4 linked regions of the Arabidopsis thaliana genome follow. The protein of the gene in region 1 interacts with the protein of each later gene in a pairwise test. Each region holds a gene or a part of one and is shown in the gene's direction. Other genes may lie near its edges. The genes, in order: GTL1, TRFL5, AT3G07340 and NF-YA4.

Region 1 (5,669 bases):
AAGTCTTAATCAAAACTCCCTCATGAGATCTAGATCTCTTATGTAAAAAGAGAGATTCATTCAGTCAGAAATCAAGGAAGGAAACTCCGTGAGCATGTTCTTACCACCTCGTATAATTATATTCTTATTATACTTGTACTAATATTAAAGTTGTATAATTAGGAAAAAAAAGAACATATCACATGTAATAAGTAATAAATATAGTGAAAAAGGAGAGGCATGTGAAAGTGGGGGGAAGAAGAAGAGAAGACAGCTGTGTATCCGCCGCTCTCTCTCTTTCTTTCCCCTTCAAGAAAGTTCTCCACTTCCACCGCCCACCTTCTTCTTCTTCTTCACCTTCTTCTCTAACCATTATTATTAATTAGCATCTTTCATTTTGTTGTTAGAAGGAAATAGTTTGTTTTCCTTTTTTGTGTATAACTAGAAATGAGCGGTGTGTTTTTGTGTAGAGTGTGATTTGGTAATGAAAATGAGTTTTTTTTTTATTTTGTGTATGTTTGTGTAGGTGAGAGGTATTAAAGAGTTGTATAATGTGATAGTATGAGTGTCTGCATCGATGTCTTGAGTTTGCAACTAATTTTAGATATGAGGCTATTCAATTTTTGATTGATCACTTATGTCTATCTTCACCACAGCTTTACTATCTCAAAAAATGTACTTATTTTCATTATTTTTCACCTAATTGTTATAAGGTTTCTTTATTAGTTTGTTATCTTGTACTTTTGTCGAAAATTCTGGTTACCACCAATACATAAAATCATCATCTTGACTTTTGTTTTGATTCACATATATATGTGCAAAGGAAATTAACAGTTTCATTTTTAATTAAAAACCAAACGAGTTACTAAAAAAAAAAGCGATGTCAAGCTATCAACATTTAACTAAACGAATGTCTTATTTTTTGGAGAAAAAAATAAATTCAAAGAACATATCAAAGATCACTTGACGTCACGTTTGTTTATTTATGGGATTTTGCAGACCATGCATGTTCTTGATTCCAAATTATGCCAACATACAAGAATCACTTGTAAAATTGTAGCGTCCAAATGAGTCTAGCAACTTTGTTATCGTGACCAAGCCATCATATCAATTCATGTATGCTAAATTCGCTGCAAATTCAGTAAAAAGTATGTTTAAAATGACATAAACGAAATCTGTTATAGTGTTGGTAGTGAGTGGGTTTGGCTTTGGCTTCGCATAAACTAATGCATGGGTCAGGTTATCGATCCGACCTGCCAAGATAGTTCCGAGTTTAAAATTACATGGTTATGTTAATTAATTATGCACTATGTATGATTCATAAAATAATTTCACTGGCTTTGGACTTACTATTTTTTTCTTTTCTTGACATCACTAAAACACTATTGTTTGATATGTTTCTATAAATGTATTATTTACACAATAACAAAAAAAAAGAGAGAAAGAAACTGTTGAATTGGAGAGGAAAGAGAGTGGGGGGAAAGATGTCAAGGCTGGTCCAGCTCAAATCGGGTAAAAACTATTATCAAATTCCAATTCTGTCCCTCCCTTTCCCCAAAAATCTGATTGTCACATACCCTACCAATCAGACAACGCCACGTGGACACCTTAGACATGATGGTGGGAGAGGACAACAACATGGGAGGCACATGATTTTGTGTTTATTATATTTCTCCAAAACACAATTTTTACCCAAAAACAATTTAATCGGATCACTGAGCAATGAGATGTTTGCGGATCCAAATTTAACTTTTAAAGCCTTCCTTACTCTTTGCTTTATAACAATAATAATAATACACATAAAATTGGATTTAATTAAATAGATGTGGACCTTTTTTTCTAAATAATATAAAAGAAGGAAGAAAATAAAATAAATAAAGAAAAAGAGAGAGTGAAGAAAAGTGGGTTTAACAATAATTTGCTGCAAAGTTAGAAGAGGCTTCAGCTTTATTAACTTCTTGTTTGCTTTCATTCTCTTTCTCTCTATCTATCATCATCATCCTCGTAATCCTCTCCTTTCTCCTTCAGACCCCTCCTAGTTGCTGTTTAAACAAACAAAAAAAGACTGCTTCTCTTTCTTATTTCTCTCATCATCATCATCAATGGTTTTATGAGATTTATATCAAAAAACATTGAGGAGCTAGAGAGAAAGAGAGAGTGTGTGTGTAGAAAAAGATTGAAACATCATCAAGATTGATGGAGCAAGGAGGAGGTGGTGGTGGTAATGAAGTTGTGGAGGAAGCTTCACCTATTAGTTCAAGACCTCCTGCTAACAACTTAGAAGAGCTTATGAGATTCTCAGCCGCCGCGGATGACGGTGGATTAGGAGGTGGAGGTGGAGGAGGAGGAGGAGGAAGTGCTTCTTCTTCATCGGGAAATCGATGGCCGAGAGAAGAAACTTTAGCTCTTCTTCGGATCCGATCCGATATGGATTCTACTTTTCGTGATGCTACTCTCAAAGCTCCTCTTTGGGAACATGTTTCCAGGTCTCTCTTCCTCTCTTCTCTTCCATTTTCATCAATGGTGTTTCTTGATAGAGATCCATTTGCATGTGTTTTTTTTTTGTTAACTTTTTTTTTTTAGTGTTAGGTATATATAAATAGTAATATATTCGAGATCAAAGCATCTTCACCATCCCCAAGAAAAATTAAAAGAACTGTTTGTTTATTACAGAAGTTGGTTCATGAGTTTCTGGGACGTTTTCGATTTTGAAAATCCCAAGACTCTCTTTACTTCCAAAAAAAAAAAAAAAAAATCCGATCGAACAGTAACCATAAAAATTTTCCAGCTAATAACGACAACCAAAAATAAAATAAAACTAGAGAATCTGAATTATTTTCATGTTTTTGGAAACAGGAAGCTATTGGAGTTAGGTTACAAACGAAGTTCAAAGAAATGCAAAGAGAAATTCGAAAACGTTCAGAAATATTACAAACGTACTAAAGAAACTCGCGGTGGTCGTCATGATGGTAAAGCTTACAAGTTCTTCTCTCAGCTTGAAGCTCTCAACACTACTCCTCCTTCATCTTCCCTCGACGTTACTCCTCTCTCCGTCGCTAATCCCATTCTCATGCCTTCTTCTTCTTCTTCTCCATTTCCCGTATTCTCTCAACCGCAACCGCAAACGCAAACGCAACCGCCTCAAACGCATAATGTCTCTTTTACTCCTACTCCACCACCTCTTCCACTTCCTTCAATGGGTCCGATATTTACCGGTGTTACTTTCTCGTCTCATAGCTCATCGACGGCTTCAGGAATGGGGTCTGATGATGATGACGACGATATGGACGTTGATCAGGCTAACATTGCGGGTTCTAGTAGCCGAAAACGCAAACGTGGAAACCGCGGTGGAGGCGGTAAAATGATGGAATTGTTTGAAGGTTTGGTGAGACAAGTAATGCAAAAGCAAGCGGCTATGCAAAGGAGTTTCTTGGAAGCTCTTGAGAAGAGAGAGCAAGAACGTCTTGATCGTGAAGAAGCTTGGAAACGTCAAGAAATGGCTCGGTTAGCTCGAGAACACGAGGTCATGTCTCAAGAACGAGCCGCCTCTGCTTCTCGTGACGCCGCAATCATTTCATTGATTCAGAAAATTACTGGCCATACCATTCAGTTACCTCCTTCTTTGTCATCTCAACCGCCTCCACCGTATCAACCGCCACCCGCGGTCACTAAACGTGTGGCGGAACCACCATTATCAACAGCTCAATCTCAATCACAACAACCAATAATGGCGATTCCACAACAACAAATTCTTCCTCCTCCTCCTCCTTCTCATCCTCACGCTCATCAACCAGAACAGAAACAACAACAACAACCACAACAAGAGATGGTCATGAGCTCGGAACAATCATCATTACCATCATCATCAAGATGGCCAAAGGCAGAGATTCTAGCGCTTATAAACCTGAGAAGTGGAATGGAACCAAGGTACCAAGATAATGTACCTAAAGGACTTCTATGGGAAGAGATCTCAACTTCAATGAAGAGAATGGGATACAACAGAAACGCTAAGAGATGTAAAGAGAAATGGGAAAACATAAACAAATACTACAAGAAAGTTAAAGAAAGCAACAAGAAACGTCCTCAAGATGCTAAGACTTGTCCTTACTTTCACCGCCTCGATCTTCTTTACCGCAACAAAGTACTCGGTAGTGGCGGTGGTTCTAGCACTTCTGGTCTACCTCAAGACCAAAAACAGAGTCCGGTCACTGCGATGAAACCGCCACAAGAAGGACTTGTTAATGTTCAACAAACTCATGGGTCAGCTTCAACTGAGGAAGAAGAGCCTATAGAGGAAAGTCCACAAGGAACAGAAAAGGTACAAACTTTGCTTTTCCTTGTCAAAATGTGATTGGTTTAATGTTCTTTGATAACTGAAATATGATTTGTTGGAATTGAAGCCAGAAGACCTTGTGATGAGAGAGCTGATTCAACAACAACAGCAACTACAACAACAAGAATCAATGATAGGTGAGTATGAAAAGATTGAAGAGTCTCACAATTATAATAACATGGAGGAAGAGGAAGATCAGGAAATGGATGAGGAAGAACTAGACGAGGATGAGAAGTCCGCGGCTTTCGAGATTGCGTTTCAAAGCCCTGCAAACAGAGGAGGCAATGGCCATACGGAACCACCTTTCTTGACAATGGTTCAGTAAAATCAGAATCATTGTTTCAAGAAAATGTACTTATGTGTGCATAGTTTTCTAAACAAAACACCCAAAAACACAAAACACAAACACACACACACACACATCTGACACCACAAACTGAAATATCAAGGTCTCATCGATCTTCGATTTTTCAGTGAATACAATTCTTTTTCACATTCTTTCCCTTTTGTTCTTTTCTTTCTCACTGTCTCTTGTTTGTTTCTTCTTGTTCATTGTTTTCTTCTTCCAACCCCCACATGAACAAAAAACTCTAGCTAAAAGGTCTTTTAGATTATTTTGGAGTTGTAATTTCATCAGCAAGTCTCACACTTTTTTTTTTTCTCTTAAAACATTTGTTGATTGGTTAATTGGGGAATAAAGAGTCTTTATTTTATTTTTTCTTCCTTTAAGGTAAGAATTAGAATCATTTAGTTTATCAGACAAAGATAAACATATATGACTGATTATTACTACTATTTGAATTGATATATGACAAAGATTGGTTTATTCACTTTGCTTTTTTGACTGAGACTCAAAGCCATAAGTAATTGAGAGGAGAAGAAGAAGAGAGAATCTGTGTGTTTTTATGTTTAATCCTTTTTGCGGCGCCCACAAAAACAATCCGATAAGCCATTATTCATTTTTGGTGTCACTATCAATTAAACAGGGTCGCTCAAAGTTTTGTTCTTTTGTTTCAAACTTTATTTTTCTTACAATCAAAAGCATGTGCAGGCTTTTGTACTTACAACGACAAGACTCGTGCCACTCTCATGTTAACTCATTTTTCATCTCTCTGTTTTTTTTCTATAACTTTTTTCTTTACCTTCAAAAAAACTGTATCAAAAAGTAAAAAACTACTCGTGTAAATTTACAAAATAAAAATAATGGTTTGAGAATATAGAAAGATGGATTGAGACAGCATGATCACACCAAAAAAAAATAAAGAAGAAGAAGAAAAAGAAAAGATTCTGTATCTTTTTGATAGAGAGAGTAATAATGGAGGAAATGGGTACAGGTAAGAAAGAGTAAGTACCACTT
Region 2 (3,736 bases), 6.6 Mb from region 1:
TAATTTTGACCTCAATTTTTTATTTCCATTATGGTCCTTGTGTTGTTGTGTATTTAGCATTTTGTTTTTCTTGGGTCAATCAGCATCACCACGTTTAGGCCACGACATAAAATTGATCCGTTTATTTTTGAGGCTCGCTCGCATCTTCTTCCTCCTTTGGCGCAACCGCTTCTTCCTCTTCTATTCTCACAGATTTCTCTAAGCTCCCAACTTTGGAGCTAAAACTCAATCAACACTACTCACAATGCTACTCCATTTCTCTCCGGCGAAACCCCTCATTTCTCCACCCAATCTCCGCCGCAATTCACCCACATTCCTCATTTCCCCGCCGCGATCTCTTCGAATTCGAGCAATCGACGCCGCCCAAATCTTCGATTACGAAACCCAACTCAAATCCGAGTACCGCAAATCCTCTGCTCTCAAAATCGCCGTCTTGGGTTTCGGCAATTTCGGCCAATTCCTCTCCAAAACCCTAATTCGACACGGCCACGATCTAATCACTCACTCCCGCTCCGATTACTCCGACGCCGCAAACTCAATCGGAGCTCGTTTCTTCGATAACCCTCACGATCTCTGTGAACAACATCCCGACGTTGTCCTCCTCTGTACCTCAATCCTCTCCACAGAATCAGTCCTCAGATCATTCCCTTTCCAACGTCTCCGTCGTAGCACACTCTTCGTCGATGTTCTCTCCGTTAAGGAATTCCCAAAAGCCCTCTTCATTAAATACCTTCCTAAGGAGTTTGACATTCTCTGTACTCATCCAATGTTTGGACCTGAGAGTGGTAAGCATTCTTGGTCTGGCTTGCCCTTTGTCTACGATAAGGTGAGAATCGGAGACGCAGCTTCAAGACAAGAGAGGTGTGAGAAGTTTCTAAGAATTTTTGAGAATGAAGGTTGCAAGATGGTTGAAATGAGCTGTGAGAAGCATGATTATTACGCAGCTGGATCGCAATTCGTGACGCATACTATGGGAAGGGTTTTGGAGAAATATGGAGTTGAGTCTTCGCCGATTAACACCAAAGGTTATGAGACGTTGTTGGATTTGGTGGAGAACACATCGAGTGATAGCTTTGAGCTTTTCTACGGTTTGTTTATGTATAATCCGAATGCTCTTGAACAGTTGGAGAGATTGGATATGGCTTTTGAGTCTGTTAAGAAGGAGCTGTTTGGGAGATTACATCAGCAATACAGGAAGCAAATGTTTGGTGGGGAGGTTCAATCGCCCAAGAAAACTGAGCAGAAATTGCTCAATGATGGTGGTGTTGTTCCTATGAATGATATATCATCATCATCATCATCATCATCATCATCATCTTAAGATCACAAGTTTGATTGGATTATGCTAGATTCAAAAATAAAAAGTTGTGACTTTTTTGGAAAACGTCAAGAGTGGAAAATAAAAAAGGGATTTTGGTGTGTTCATATGTATGTTGGGGTCTCTTTTGGCTTGGTATCAATAAACTTGTCTTTTTTTCTCTAAATGTATCTGTGGAAATGCTTATCCCTCTGGTCGCCGGAAACAAATACGGACAAATTGTCTCCTTCTCCGGCCATATTTGTATTGGATCAACATTGTATTGCTCAAAAGTCATTACTGTTTTTCTCTGTCTCCAATGATCTCGGGTCACCCACCCGATTCGGATCAGGACAACATCGTTTCGTTATGGGCCGATTATATAATGGGCCGCTTGAATGTCTCGTCTTATTTAATTAAAAGAAAAAAACACATTTTAAATTTGAATGATTCACACGTGTGTTGTTGCCACCATAGTTGGTCGGAGCTTTTCCTCTTCCCAAAATTGTAACCCTAACCACGCACCGACGGCGAAAACTGATCGCGGGTTTTCGCATCTTTTACTTGCAAAGTCTTGGAAATGGAAGTGATGGACAAATGGGTAGCTGAATTTTTCCTCCGACGCCAACTAAATCCTAGGGTTTACGCTTTTCCACTGTTATCGGCTCTGAAACCAGTAGATTCCGACGACTGTGTAAAACTCAAGCTAACTGCTGTTTTGCGGGATATCTCCAATTCCATGATTCAAGGTACCGTAGACGAAGGAATGCTTGATCTCCTCGAAATTCTTGAGAAGCTTCTGTTACAGGAACATTCGGTTATCATGGGATCTCTCAAATCTGCGTATTGCTGGACTGCTGTGGAATGCACGCTTAGGTTTATGTGGCCAGTGAATGCTTCGGATGGCTTCTTCGGTGATGCCCTTGAGAGGATTTGGAGGAATCGGATTGGGACATTGAAGGAGAAAGAGAGCGACTTGGTGACTCGTGAGTTGTTGAAATGGGAGAGTGATCTAAACAAGGCGTTTGAGGAACCTGAGATTTACCAGAAGATTCGTGAGACTAACATCAGGTACAATGCCATCTCTCATCTTAATCAGCTTCTCAAAGAGCAGTGGGCACTACTTGGATGTTCTTCTCTTGAATCAGAAGCTCGAAAGAGGTTTCTTAAGCGTAAGGATTCACCATATGCTTCCCGGAGAGGAGGTAATAGAGAGAAAGCTAATGATGTTGAAGAAGTGGGTGGTGTGGAGAATCCTGATGGGGTTGGTAAGGTGAATGAACATGAACAGGAACACGAGCCAAGTCTTAATAAGGGGGAAATGTTGGTAGCTCGAGAGCTTAAGGATTTTTTGTTGGAGATTCAAAGACTCATCGACCCTATAACAAGGCAAGATCAAGAACCTAACAATGCAATGGAGCATTCAGTTGATGTCACTCCTCAGCCTGATGGGGCAAATAGGACTGATGCAGAAGATAGTGAGGGAACATCATCGTCTAGAAGAGTCAGGCCTCATCTACCAACCCCGGAACCTCTGAATGTATCACCGTTGAAGAAAGGAAGATTAGAAAGACCGCGTCCCAGAAGGCCAATGAAATTCTGGACTTCTGAAGAAGTGGCAGCTTTGAGGGAAGGAGTTAAAGAATATGGAAAATCATGGAAAGATATCAAGAATTCATACCCTGTTGTTTTCGCTGATAGGAGCGAGGTGGATTTGAAGGATAAGTGGAGGAATTTACTTGGTCGTCAGTAGTAGGAATCTTACCTTCTAACTTATGGGCATTTTGGTTTTGGGATCTTGTGTAGTTTTGCCGCTTGTGTTAGAAAGGGACTCACTTTTTGTACGGTGAAGGCTTTAATATGTTCTTGATTCAGGCTCTTGTAGTTAGTGTCAAGCTTTAGACGATATTTCTTGTTCAAAAATCTATTGACCAGTTGATTACAAAATGGAATGATTTTAAATATTTGGTCCTATAATCAAATCAAGCAAGCTCTGAAACCCATCTCTAACTCCTCCCGGTTCAAATTCTTGCCGATGAAAACAATCTTGTTGGTTCTTGTTTCATCTTTTCTCCATAACCGGTCAGGTGATCCTTCAAATATTTCATGAACTCCCTGTTCCAACCATTATAAACCACAAACGTCAGAGATAATTTACATCCCAAGGCTTCGATGCTTTAGAATTCATCCGAAATGATCAAAATAATGACAAAGGTTGGTCACCTGAAACACGAATCTCTCGTCCATGTCTTGTACGGAGAGGATACCTTTCATTCTGTAGATATCCTCACTACGTTGGTACAATAGCGCCCCAAGCCACATGTTAGCCTGATCCATTTTCAAAACTAAGGTTATAGATGATGCAAGTAATCAATCGCACATCTCAACAATCGTTTTAATTATAAGTAACACGTCAGGTGCTACAGTTTTATGCATCAC
Region 3 (5,134 bases), on another chromosome or scaffold:
AGTGAAGAGGGGATAAAATACACCAACTGAAACTCATATTCGAGTGAAACAGAACCTGACCGAACAACTTTTCTTAATTTAATGGAAGGAAAAGTTGGGATTTGGGAGGTGTGAAGAGTTCTTTAGAATGAGGTAACGAACAAGTGACAATATCTAATAATCTTTTGTAAGAACAAGAACATGACAAGTGGGTTTTGTTGTTTGGTGTCTATTTATGCTCGTCGCCCCATGCAGTATAGTAGTAGTATTATTAATAAAAGACCCAAATCCGTTTTTTTGTATGCTATTGAAATTTTATCTGAACGCGAAGAGTCAATGGATTATTCATAATTCTAATGAATACGTGAAAGTTCTGCTCGTCTTAGAACAAAGTACTTGGGATAAAATGCCAAAAAGCCGGTTTAAACGAAAATCAAGCATCTTTCCTAAACCATGTTATATATAATGTATTTTTTTTTTTTTGGGTAAAGAAAATAACATATGTTGTACATAATGTATTACAAACAGGAATTTTGGCAAACAATTATGCATCACCTACATAATTGTTTGTGTAAGTGGTGATGTATATATTTTATTCTTTCGAACAATTATGCGAATATTGTCACCAAAATATGAAAATATCGATGTTATCTATTCATCATTAAATTACCCGATCCAGAGATTTATAAGTATTTAACTATTTATCAAATTCTAAATCGATGTTATAAGTTGTAGATAATTTTTAGCAAAAAAAAGTTGTAGATAATTGATATTATAGGGGAGCCCATTCCAATTCTCTCCCGAGGATGGATCCCGTTTAAATTCGTAAGTGGGCTTATAAGTTGAAAGCCCATACTTATGTTAGAAGTTAAAAGCCCAGCTAAATAATAATCTCTGTAGTGTTTATAGTCGATGTTGGGCTATTGACCACTATTTTCATCATGCGTGACGTAGGCGTGGGAAGTATTATTTGTGTGATCCGAGATCTGATCCGAATTTGAATGTAGCTGTATGGGAGAAAAGCCGAACGTGTATATTATCCTTTTGACGGCGCTTAAGGTTATCTTATACTAGTATATGTCATATTTTTCTTACGTAAAAAGTCGGTGATATGTTATTGAAACGTGTCACCACAAACGTAAACCTATGATCTGGGACATGTTTGAAACCAATGAACTTTTCAATTAAACTCGGACATCTATTTGTATCTTTCTGTAAACTTAAATATTAGATATATCTATTGATGTATTATGTTGATTTTCTTATTCTTAGACGACTAGCAATATACGTAATATGGTCAATTAGAAATTTAGAAATCTCACCAAGTCAAGCACTAATCTATACAGAACGGCAAATCCTTCTAAGTTCTACTTCTAACCAAACCGTATGATCCACATGACCATATGAGAGTAATTTCCAAGAGACTATCATGATGCAAGAACGAACATAAAACCATCTAACTAAAAATTTAGCTCACTTACATGCATGAACAAACCAAATTGCCTCATTGAAACTGCCTACTTGAAACATGTTATAAAATCAAGATTTTTCCTTGTCTTTTTCTTGATTCGAACAAAGAAAGAGTTAAACATGTTGACATACAAATCAACAAAAGAACCGGCGATGGTTAAGGAACTTCGACAAGGGAACCCATTCGTCAAAAGTAGTTTGTTATTCGTTTACCGGTTTTTGATATTAGTACCAGATTTGTTTTTGACATCTTAAAGAACGTTAAGATTGTTTCGTACTATTTAATAGTTTCACACTTATTTTATACTGTATTTAGAAGCTTGTTTCTCCAATTATCTCATTTGGTAAAGACGTTTCATTAGCGATATCGTGTTAACGTCGAAAGTCCTCCTCTCGTTACGGTCCGGTCCGACACAGAAATTTTTATTTAATATTTACTTTATTTTTTGTCCATTTATTAGAAAGAAAGTCATTGATTGGTGCAATTTATTAATATAAATTTATTAAACAACTATATAAACTCCTCATTACTGCCCATTAACGAGCTTCCCTTTTCCTCTGTTCTTCACTTTAAGAAAATTACAAACTTTTATCTTCTATTGGACGAATCTTTGATCTGGTTTTAATTAATCACACGCTTACTTTAGGATTTTTTTACCTGAATTCGAATATATACTTTTGATTTTCATCTTCCGTAGTCCGTACCGTAGAATTGAGGAGCTTCATGGAGAACGAGCTGTTTATGAATGCAGGAGTTTCGCATCCGCCGGTGATGACGTCACCGTCTTCTTCGTCGGCGATGCTTAAGTGGGTTTCAATGGAGACTCAGCCAGTGGATCCAAGTCTCAGTCGCAATCTGTTTTGGGAAAAGTCAACGGAACAGAGCATTTTTGATTCGGCTCTGAGCTCACTCGTCTCTTCTCCTACGCCGTCAAATTCAAACTTTTCGGTTGGCGGAGTAGGTGGAGAAAATGTCATTATGAGAGAGCTCATCGGGAAACTGGGTAATATCGGCGATATCTATGGAATTACGGCGAGCAATGGAAACTCGTGTTACGCAACTCCGATGAGCTCTCCACCGCCTGGAAGTATGATGGAGACGAAAACGACGACGCCGATGGCAGAACTGTCCGGCGACCCGGGATTCGCTGAGAGAGCGGCGAGGTTCTCGTGTTTTGGTAGCCGGAGTTTTAACAGCAGAACAAACTCGCCGTTTCCGATTAATAACGAACCACCCATCACAACCAATGAGAAAATGCCACGTGTATCAAGCAGCCCAGTTTTTAAGCCTCTTGCGTCTCATGTTCCCGCCGGCGAATCGTCCGGTGAACTTTCCCGGAAAAGAAAAACTAAATCCAAGCAGAATTCTCCTTCTGCAGTTTCATCATCAAAGGTTCATAATGAAGCTTCACATTCGAATAAACCCATTTTTTGTTTGGTTTAAACAAATACTAATTTTAGTTTGATTATCAGGAGATTGAAGAGAAGGAAGATTCTGATCCAAAGAGATGCAAAAAATCAGAAGAAAATGGAGACAAAACTAAATCAATTGATCCTTACAAAGATTACATTCATGTTAGAGCTCGACGAGGCCAAGCCACCGATAGTCACAGTCTCGCCGAACGAGTCAGTCAATTTCCTATTTTCTTACCAAATTTATTGATTTTAATCTTAATGTTTAATTACGTCCTGATTAGTTGAATTAATCATGCTTTGTATTCAATGTGTTGTTGTGATTTCGATATTAAAAAGGTTCGAAGAGAGAAAATAAGCGAAAGAATGAAGCTGCTTCAAGATCTTGTCCCTGGATGCAACAAGGTGAGAGTTTGATTAAACAACTAATTAACTCGTTTTTAGTTGTACTAATATAGTTGTGATTAGAGCAATAACAAATTTACTTTTTAAAGGTTACTGGAAAAGCACTGATGTTGGATGAAATTATAAACTATGTCCAATCATTGCAACGACAAGTTGAGGTAATTACTCATTAGATTATTGGTCTACTTTAAACTCTTTCCATTATTTCATAATCACTTTTTAAAACAACTACACGACTTCGAATAATTTTTGTTTCTTAATTTTAATTTCAAATATGGTGCAGTTCTTGTCGATGAAGTTATCGTCAGTGAACACCAGGCTGGACTTTAACATGGACGCTCTCTTGTCTAAGGATGTAAGTCACCGTCACAACATTTATAGTAATTTTAATTGACAATTATTGTAATAATAATTACTTTTTTGTCTTTGTGAACCAATCGTGTGTTTGTTTAAACTAATTTCTTTTGTTTTCTGACAGATATTTCCTTCAAGCAACAATCTAATGCATCATCAACAAGTACTTCAATTAGATTCTTCAGCAGAAACGTTATTGGGTGATCATCACAACAAAAATTTGCAATTGAACCCTGATATTTCTTCTAATAACGTAATAAACCCTTTGGAAACTTCTGAAACTAGAAGCTTCATTTCTCACTTACCAACACTTGCTCATTTCACTGACTCTATTTCTCAGGTTTCCTTTTCTAAAACATTCTTCTATCACTTTTCTTTTCTTTTTCTCTTCAATTTGAAGCGGTCTTAACCCTTTTTGGTTTTGTTTTTAGTATTCAACATTTTCCGAAGATGATTTACATAGCATTATTCATATGGGTTTTGCGCAAAACCGTCTCCAAGAATTGAACCAAGGTAAGAATATTTAAATCATATTTTTTCTTTCCATTTCATTATATAGGCAGGACCGTTTAGATATGATATGTATAAATTGTACTATTATATATGCAGGTTCATCAAACCAAGTACCATCGCACATGAAAGCTGAACTTTGATCAACCACTATATGCATTTTTACAAAAATATTGGCGTTTTAAAGGTCTCGAGGATAGAAAGTAAGAAAAGGATTGATGGGTGTACATAACAAGAAATTTGAATTGGACCACACCATATGCGAATTCATTTCTATAATCATCTTCATATACATAACTTCTTCTTTTTATCCTTCCGATTCATTTGTGGTGCTCAATTGTATTGTCATGTTGTTATCCGCTATTCTTCTTCTTATCAGATTCTTTAAACTTTTCTTGTTTGGATTTAATATCATTGTATGTTTTAACCCCACTATAAGTACTATAGCTATAATTCTTCCGAACAACAAGACTGTTTTTATCAAACCCATTCAGTTCTTGTAACAAAAAAACATCAAACTCTTGAAAACGAAAAAATAATTCGGTTTTCTTATAAAGAGTTTGTATGTGATAAGAAGCTAACAAGGACAGATCATTCCTAGAAAATACACATTTTTGGTGAAGGAAAAACAACAGTGTGTTGCAAAAATTGATAGATACTAAGTAAATTTTCTTATTTCAATTATCAAAACTATATAGCTTCTGCATGTTAGGTGAGATTTTGTAGTTTATTTATGTGTATTATTTCCTTATTTATTTTTGGAAAAGGTATTTAATTATTTGTTAAAGCGTATGAAATGTTAGTATGCAGTTTTTGGTTGGAATACGATTTAACATTGAAACCAAAAAGTTGGTATTGAGTTTTTTTCGGCAGGAGTTACATAGCGTGACAACTATCTTTGTGCTAAATTACATGTGTGTAATTTGCTCAAATGTACTATTTCCAACAAATATAATAGGTACTACAGCATATTCACAAACATCAAATCTTAGCTAAGCTTGAC
Region 4 (4,367 bases), on another chromosome or scaffold:
TTCGGATGACATTTTAATTTTTTAGTATTTCTATTCTAGATATATTTTTGGTAATAAAGCTAGATTTGACAATATGATTGATGTTAAATTTAAGATTTATATGACAACTATAACAAGAGGTATTTCTAAATCTAAGTTTTACTTAATTTTTCTCTATAATCTATTTGAATCAATATACTTTTGAACACCCCTTCGATAAAAATTAGTATATTTATCTTCACAATTATAAAAGAATCTCATCCTTATCTTTCTATCAAATTTATGAATTTGGTCTCATCTCTATCTTTTTCTTTTGCTTTTACTTTGTGTAAGTGGTATTTTTTTTTTTTTTTTGTATCATGGATTAAACTAGATTATGACGGTTTGATCTTGATGGTTGGGGTTTAAGTCTTATTAACTAAAATCGTTCTTTTGAGGCGATCTTTGTAGGAAAAACCAAACTAGGATAGATTTGTGCTCAAATGAACTAACATAGAAATCTAAAACTGAAAATAAGAGACCTCATTAAGCTTATTGCACAAAACAAAAGTATGAGGGGAAAAGATTTAGATTGTCCCCAAGAATAGAATGACTTTAGTTTTGATTTCAAAGAAGGGGATAGACTATGGAGTTAAGTGACAACTCTCTACGTTAGTCTCACTGTTCTCACTACATGATTATATATAAGAGACTACTTGCTCATCTACTTAACCTAATTACATGAACTTGTGTTGGGTTTTTCCAATATCATGAACTTATAATCTTTGGTTTTGTTAGGAATGCTCTTTTAATCTCAGTGCTAAATTATGCTTGATATTTATAACTTTTTTTTTTTTTTTTTATATTTATAACTTTATACGTGCTGACATGCACTTGAGGACTTTGAGGTGTCGAATCAAGAATCATGATGATAAGGAGTTTAGGGATGAAAGCAGACTATATAATCGTATAGGTGATTAAGTAAGCATGGTTATTTAATGACTGCTCAGTCACTTCATTTACTTGTGTATTAATCATGTTTACTAGTTAGTTTTCGTCCATTTCCAAACGCTAATTTGTTGTTCAATGACTGCTCACTCACTTCATTTACGTTAAACGTTTCTTACTTGTCGAATGCATACTTACTTGATTTTGACCTATAGTTACTTGTCGAATACTGTGACCTCGTATAAGTGATCAAAGGCGTTACAACTTTTGGTGGTCTTTTACACATAAGTGATAGTTTTCAATTATTTTTCGAGTCAAAGCAATTAGCAAATACTTTTTTAGGAAAGTTTTTTTTTTCTTTTTTTTTTTTTGGGCAAAATTTTTAGGAAACTTATAAATAATAAGTTACTTATTATGGAATCATGTACTGTTTTTTTCTGAAGTCACTCATCACTCGTTCGTTTAAGTAGGTTTTGTTTTGTCACTGAACCGAAGTCAAACCAATCTAAATACCAAAGCTGGTTTAATGTCTCTGAAATTCGAACAAAACCAAAAGCGAACGGAATCTTCGGTTTCGATACCGACGCTTCTTTGATGACTCACAACGAAAGATATATTTGAGGGCAACGGGCACAAGTAGGGTCAGGCAAAACTAGTGGAGTTGAACAATCGATAACATATTCGGGCAGCTTTTCAGATCTGCCCGTCTTTTCCTACAATCTCGATCGTTGTTTCGACACTTGTCCTCATTGTATTAGCCTCCTTTTCACTGTTGCACATCGTGTCGTTTACCACTCCTACACATTTTCGTGGTTCTGAGTTGACCTATCACTACAGTGTGAGTGGAAAACATGAAAACGGCACGATGTTAATGAATATTAGAGAAGGACGGAGGCTATGAACTGAAAAAACGACATGGTGTGTCCCTCTTGGGTCTAGCCGTTTAGGCCTCTGTTAGTCATTTCGTCTCTTCCTTAGTTAGAACAAAAAAGGAGAGACCTTTAACAATTTTCTGAGGGTAAGATCCAGAGATTGATTGAATCAGCTTACTATTTTATATAATTCAGGTAAATTCTTATGTTTCTTTCCCTCCAGATTTTGAAAGTTTCTAGCTTTTGTTGTTCTGTATCTACTCGTTTCCGGGAAAATGCTTTTGCTATGTATGTTGAGATGTGATAGTAGAGGTTAAGATTGGTTTTTCTCTGTTCTGGGTTTGCTTTAGATTCTAGGGTTGTGATTGAATTCTGATTTTGGGGTTTTGGTTTAGTGAATTCCGATTCTCAAACTCTTGGCTTTGGTACTGACTTTTGTGCTTTGTTGTTGTTTCAGTTTGTTGTTCCTCAGACTTGTAACTAGGACAGTCTTCTCATGAATCATGACTTCTTCAGTACATGAGCTCTCTGGTTTTGTCTCTCTTTCTGACCATTTTCATTATGCTCTCGTTTTATTGTTGTATCTTCCTAACTGATTCTTGGTGGTATGTTTTGCTGGTCAGATAACAATGAAAGTCATGCGAAGAAAGAACGTCCAGATTCCCAAACCCGACCACAGGTTCCTTCAGGACGAAGTTCGGAATCTATTGATACAAACTCTGTCTACTCAGAGCCCATGGTAATTTCTCTCAGCCAAAATCTCAACTATTTGTGCAGGCTACATTCAATGAGTGATCTTTATTTCGATTATATGATATTTGGTTTAGTTTCTGTGTGATCTTGCTCTCGGTTATAATATGTTTGCTTGTGATTCTCTTTTTCAATGCTAAAAGTTTTGTTTTGATGCTTACAATGCCAAAACTTGGTTGTTTGAGATAATTCAAGCAAGAAAGTCCCGGGATCATCGCCTTTCTGCAGTTTTAGACTTCGTACGAATGTAAACTTTGATTGCTTTGAAAATCAGTCTTGAGATGCAGTGTAATGATAATGTTGATTCCAAGTAATGCTAAACTTTTTAACCTGAGATGATACGGTTTTTGTTTTTGTGTGTGTTGGTATTGAAGGCACATGGATTATACCCGTATCCAGATCCTTACTACAGAAGCGTCTTTGCACAGCAAGCGTATCTTCCACATCCCTATCCTGGGGTATGTATTATTTATTACTCAGCCCCAACGTCTCCGGTTTGGAATATTTAGAAAAGCTTTTGTTTTATTTTTAAAGTTTTTTTTTCAGGTCCAATTGCAGTTAATGGGAATGCAGCAGCCAGGAGTTCCATTGCAATGTGATGCAGTCGAGGAACCTGTTTTTGTTAACGCAAAGCAATACCATGGTATACTCAGGCGCAGGCAATCCCGGGCAAAACTTGAGGCACGAAATAGAGCCATCAAAGCAAAAAAGGTAAAATCCTGGCGGGCAAGTGCTGTAATTTGTTTGGTAGAATCCTTCCCAATAAGTTGTAATTTCTTGTTTTCAGCCATACATGCATGAATCTCGGCATTTACATGCGATAAGACGGCCAAGAGGATGTGGTGGCCGGTTTCTCAATGCCAAGAAGGAAAATGGAGACCACAAGGAGGAGGAGGAGGCAACCTCTGATGAGAACACTTCAGAAGCAAGTTCCAGCCTCAGGTCCGAGAAATTAGCTATGGCTACTTCTGGTCCTAATGGTAGATCTTGAGGAAGGTTTCTGCACAACCACAAGTTTAGTTTCTATTTTGGGTGGATGTTCTCAGGGCATCATCGTCTTTAGTGTTTTTGGATACGCTGTGTACAGGTTATTTGCTAGGGTAAACTTTGTTTTAGCGATTAGAAATAAAACTAAGCAAAGAAATGAAAAGTGTGATTGGAAGTATTGTTGTACCAAATTGATATTCTTTGCCAATGAACTCATGTTTTGGAAAGTAAATTAATGTTCTTAGCTTTGTTTGCTATGATTTTGAGGATAACTAACACTGATGATAACTACCACTGTGGATTAGTCCATTGTTAGACTAGACTGTTTATTGGTATTCTTCTATATATATGAAATGCATTCTACAGGATCGGATTTGACGTTGTAATTTAGGAGACAAGTAAAACAAGAATTCTTCCGATCTCATAATGTGGTCAATCACTAGGCTCGTTTTCATTTTTAATGAACACATTGCATGCATATCCGACCATATGCTCTTCCGATGATACATTTTGAATGACACGACATACATTATTTTACAATCACAATTCTCTTTTTATACGAGGTATTGTTTCTTTTCTCGACTTGTAGCTCTGTTTTAGTTTTGTCAAGTCTTTAGACCTGTTTACACCATTTTATTATTATCTTCTTTACCACATATAAACTTAGCCTTTTTCTTATATTCACAAAGAGACCATATTTCACCATTCCATTGATGATATATTGGTTAGATGTGTTGGGATAGAATTTGAAACATTGATTTCTGCGACCAAATGGATTCGTTTTGGGAAGAAGGTAGAATAATCTTAGTTTACCACTTTTTTTTATCCACTAAGCATAATCATTTCACTCCC

Evidence for each region.
Region 2: the proteins of GTL1 (region 1) and TRFL5 interact in a two-hybrid assay, tested with the Arabidopsis thaliana proteins (one large-scale study listed by BioGRID).
Region 3: the proteins of GTL1 (region 1) and AT3G07340 interact in a two-hybrid assay, tested with the Arabidopsis thaliana proteins (one large-scale study listed by BioGRID).
Region 4: the proteins of GTL1 (region 1) and NF-YA4 interact in a two-hybrid assay, tested with the Arabidopsis thaliana proteins (one large-scale study listed by BioGRID).

What each region holds. Positions count from the first base shown.
Region 1 is NC_003070.9:12,050,827-12,056,495, reverse strand, and holds GTL1 (GT-2-like 1), read left to right. Parts: upstream 1-1,742; 5' UTR 1,743-2,175; coding exon 2,176-2,465; intron 2,466-2,560; exon of another isoform or gene 2,561-2,662; coding exon of another isoform or gene 2,663-2,835; coding exon 2,836-4,297; coding exon of another isoform or gene 4,298-4,330; exon of another isoform or gene 4,331-4,379; coding exon 4,380-4,637; 3' UTR 4,638-5,119; downstream 5,120-5,669. UniProt on the Arabidopsis thaliana protein: Transcription repressor that binds specific DNA sequence such as GT3 box 5'-GGTAAA-3' in the SDD1 promoter. Negative regulator of water use efficiency (WUE) via the promotion of stomatal density and distribution by the transcription repression of SDD1.
Region 2 is NC_003070.9:5,404,261-5,407,996, forward strand, and holds TRFL5 (TRF-like 5), read left to right. Parts: upstream 1-1,764; 5' UTR 1,765-1,877; coding exon 1,878-3,050; 3' UTR 3,051-3,226; downstream 3,227-3,736. Other genes in the region: AT1G15710 (prephenate dehydrogenase family protein), read left to right, coding at 245-1,321; AT1G15730 (Cobalamin biosynthesis CobW-like protein), read right to left, coding at 3,275-3,412, 3,521-3,625.
Region 3 is NC_003074.8:2,340,328-2,345,461, reverse strand, and holds AT3G07340 (basic helix-loop-helix (bHLH) DNA-binding superfamily protein), read left to right. Parts: upstream 1-1,764; 5' UTR 1,765-2,173; coding exon 2,174-2,842; intron 2,843-2,922; coding exon 2,923-3,075; intron 3,076-3,201; coding exon 3,202-3,267; intron 3,268-3,356; coding exon 3,357-3,425; intron 3,426-3,550; coding exon 3,551-3,622; intron 3,623-3,745; coding exon 3,746-3,961; coding exon of another isoform or gene 3,962-4,030; exon of another isoform or gene 4,031-4,052; coding exon 4,053-4,134; intron 4,135-4,230; coding exon 4,231-4,274; 3' UTR 4,275-4,617; downstream 4,618-5,134.
Region 4 is NC_003071.7:14,649,170-14,653,536, reverse strand, and holds NF-YA4 (nuclear factor Y, subunit A4), read left to right. Parts: upstream 1-1,827; 5' UTR 1,828-1,973; intron 1,974-2,235; 5' UTR 2,236-2,281; coding exon 2,282-2,309; intron 2,310-2,401; coding exon 2,402-2,517; exon of another isoform or gene 2,518-2,863; coding exon of another isoform or gene 2,864-2,902; coding exon 2,903-2,986; intron 2,987-3,074; coding exon 3,075-3,239; intron 3,240-3,315; coding exon 3,316-3,519; 3' UTR 3,520-3,831; downstream 3,832-4,367. UniProt on the Arabidopsis thaliana protein: Stimulates the transcription of various genes by recognizing and binding to a CCAAT motif in promoters.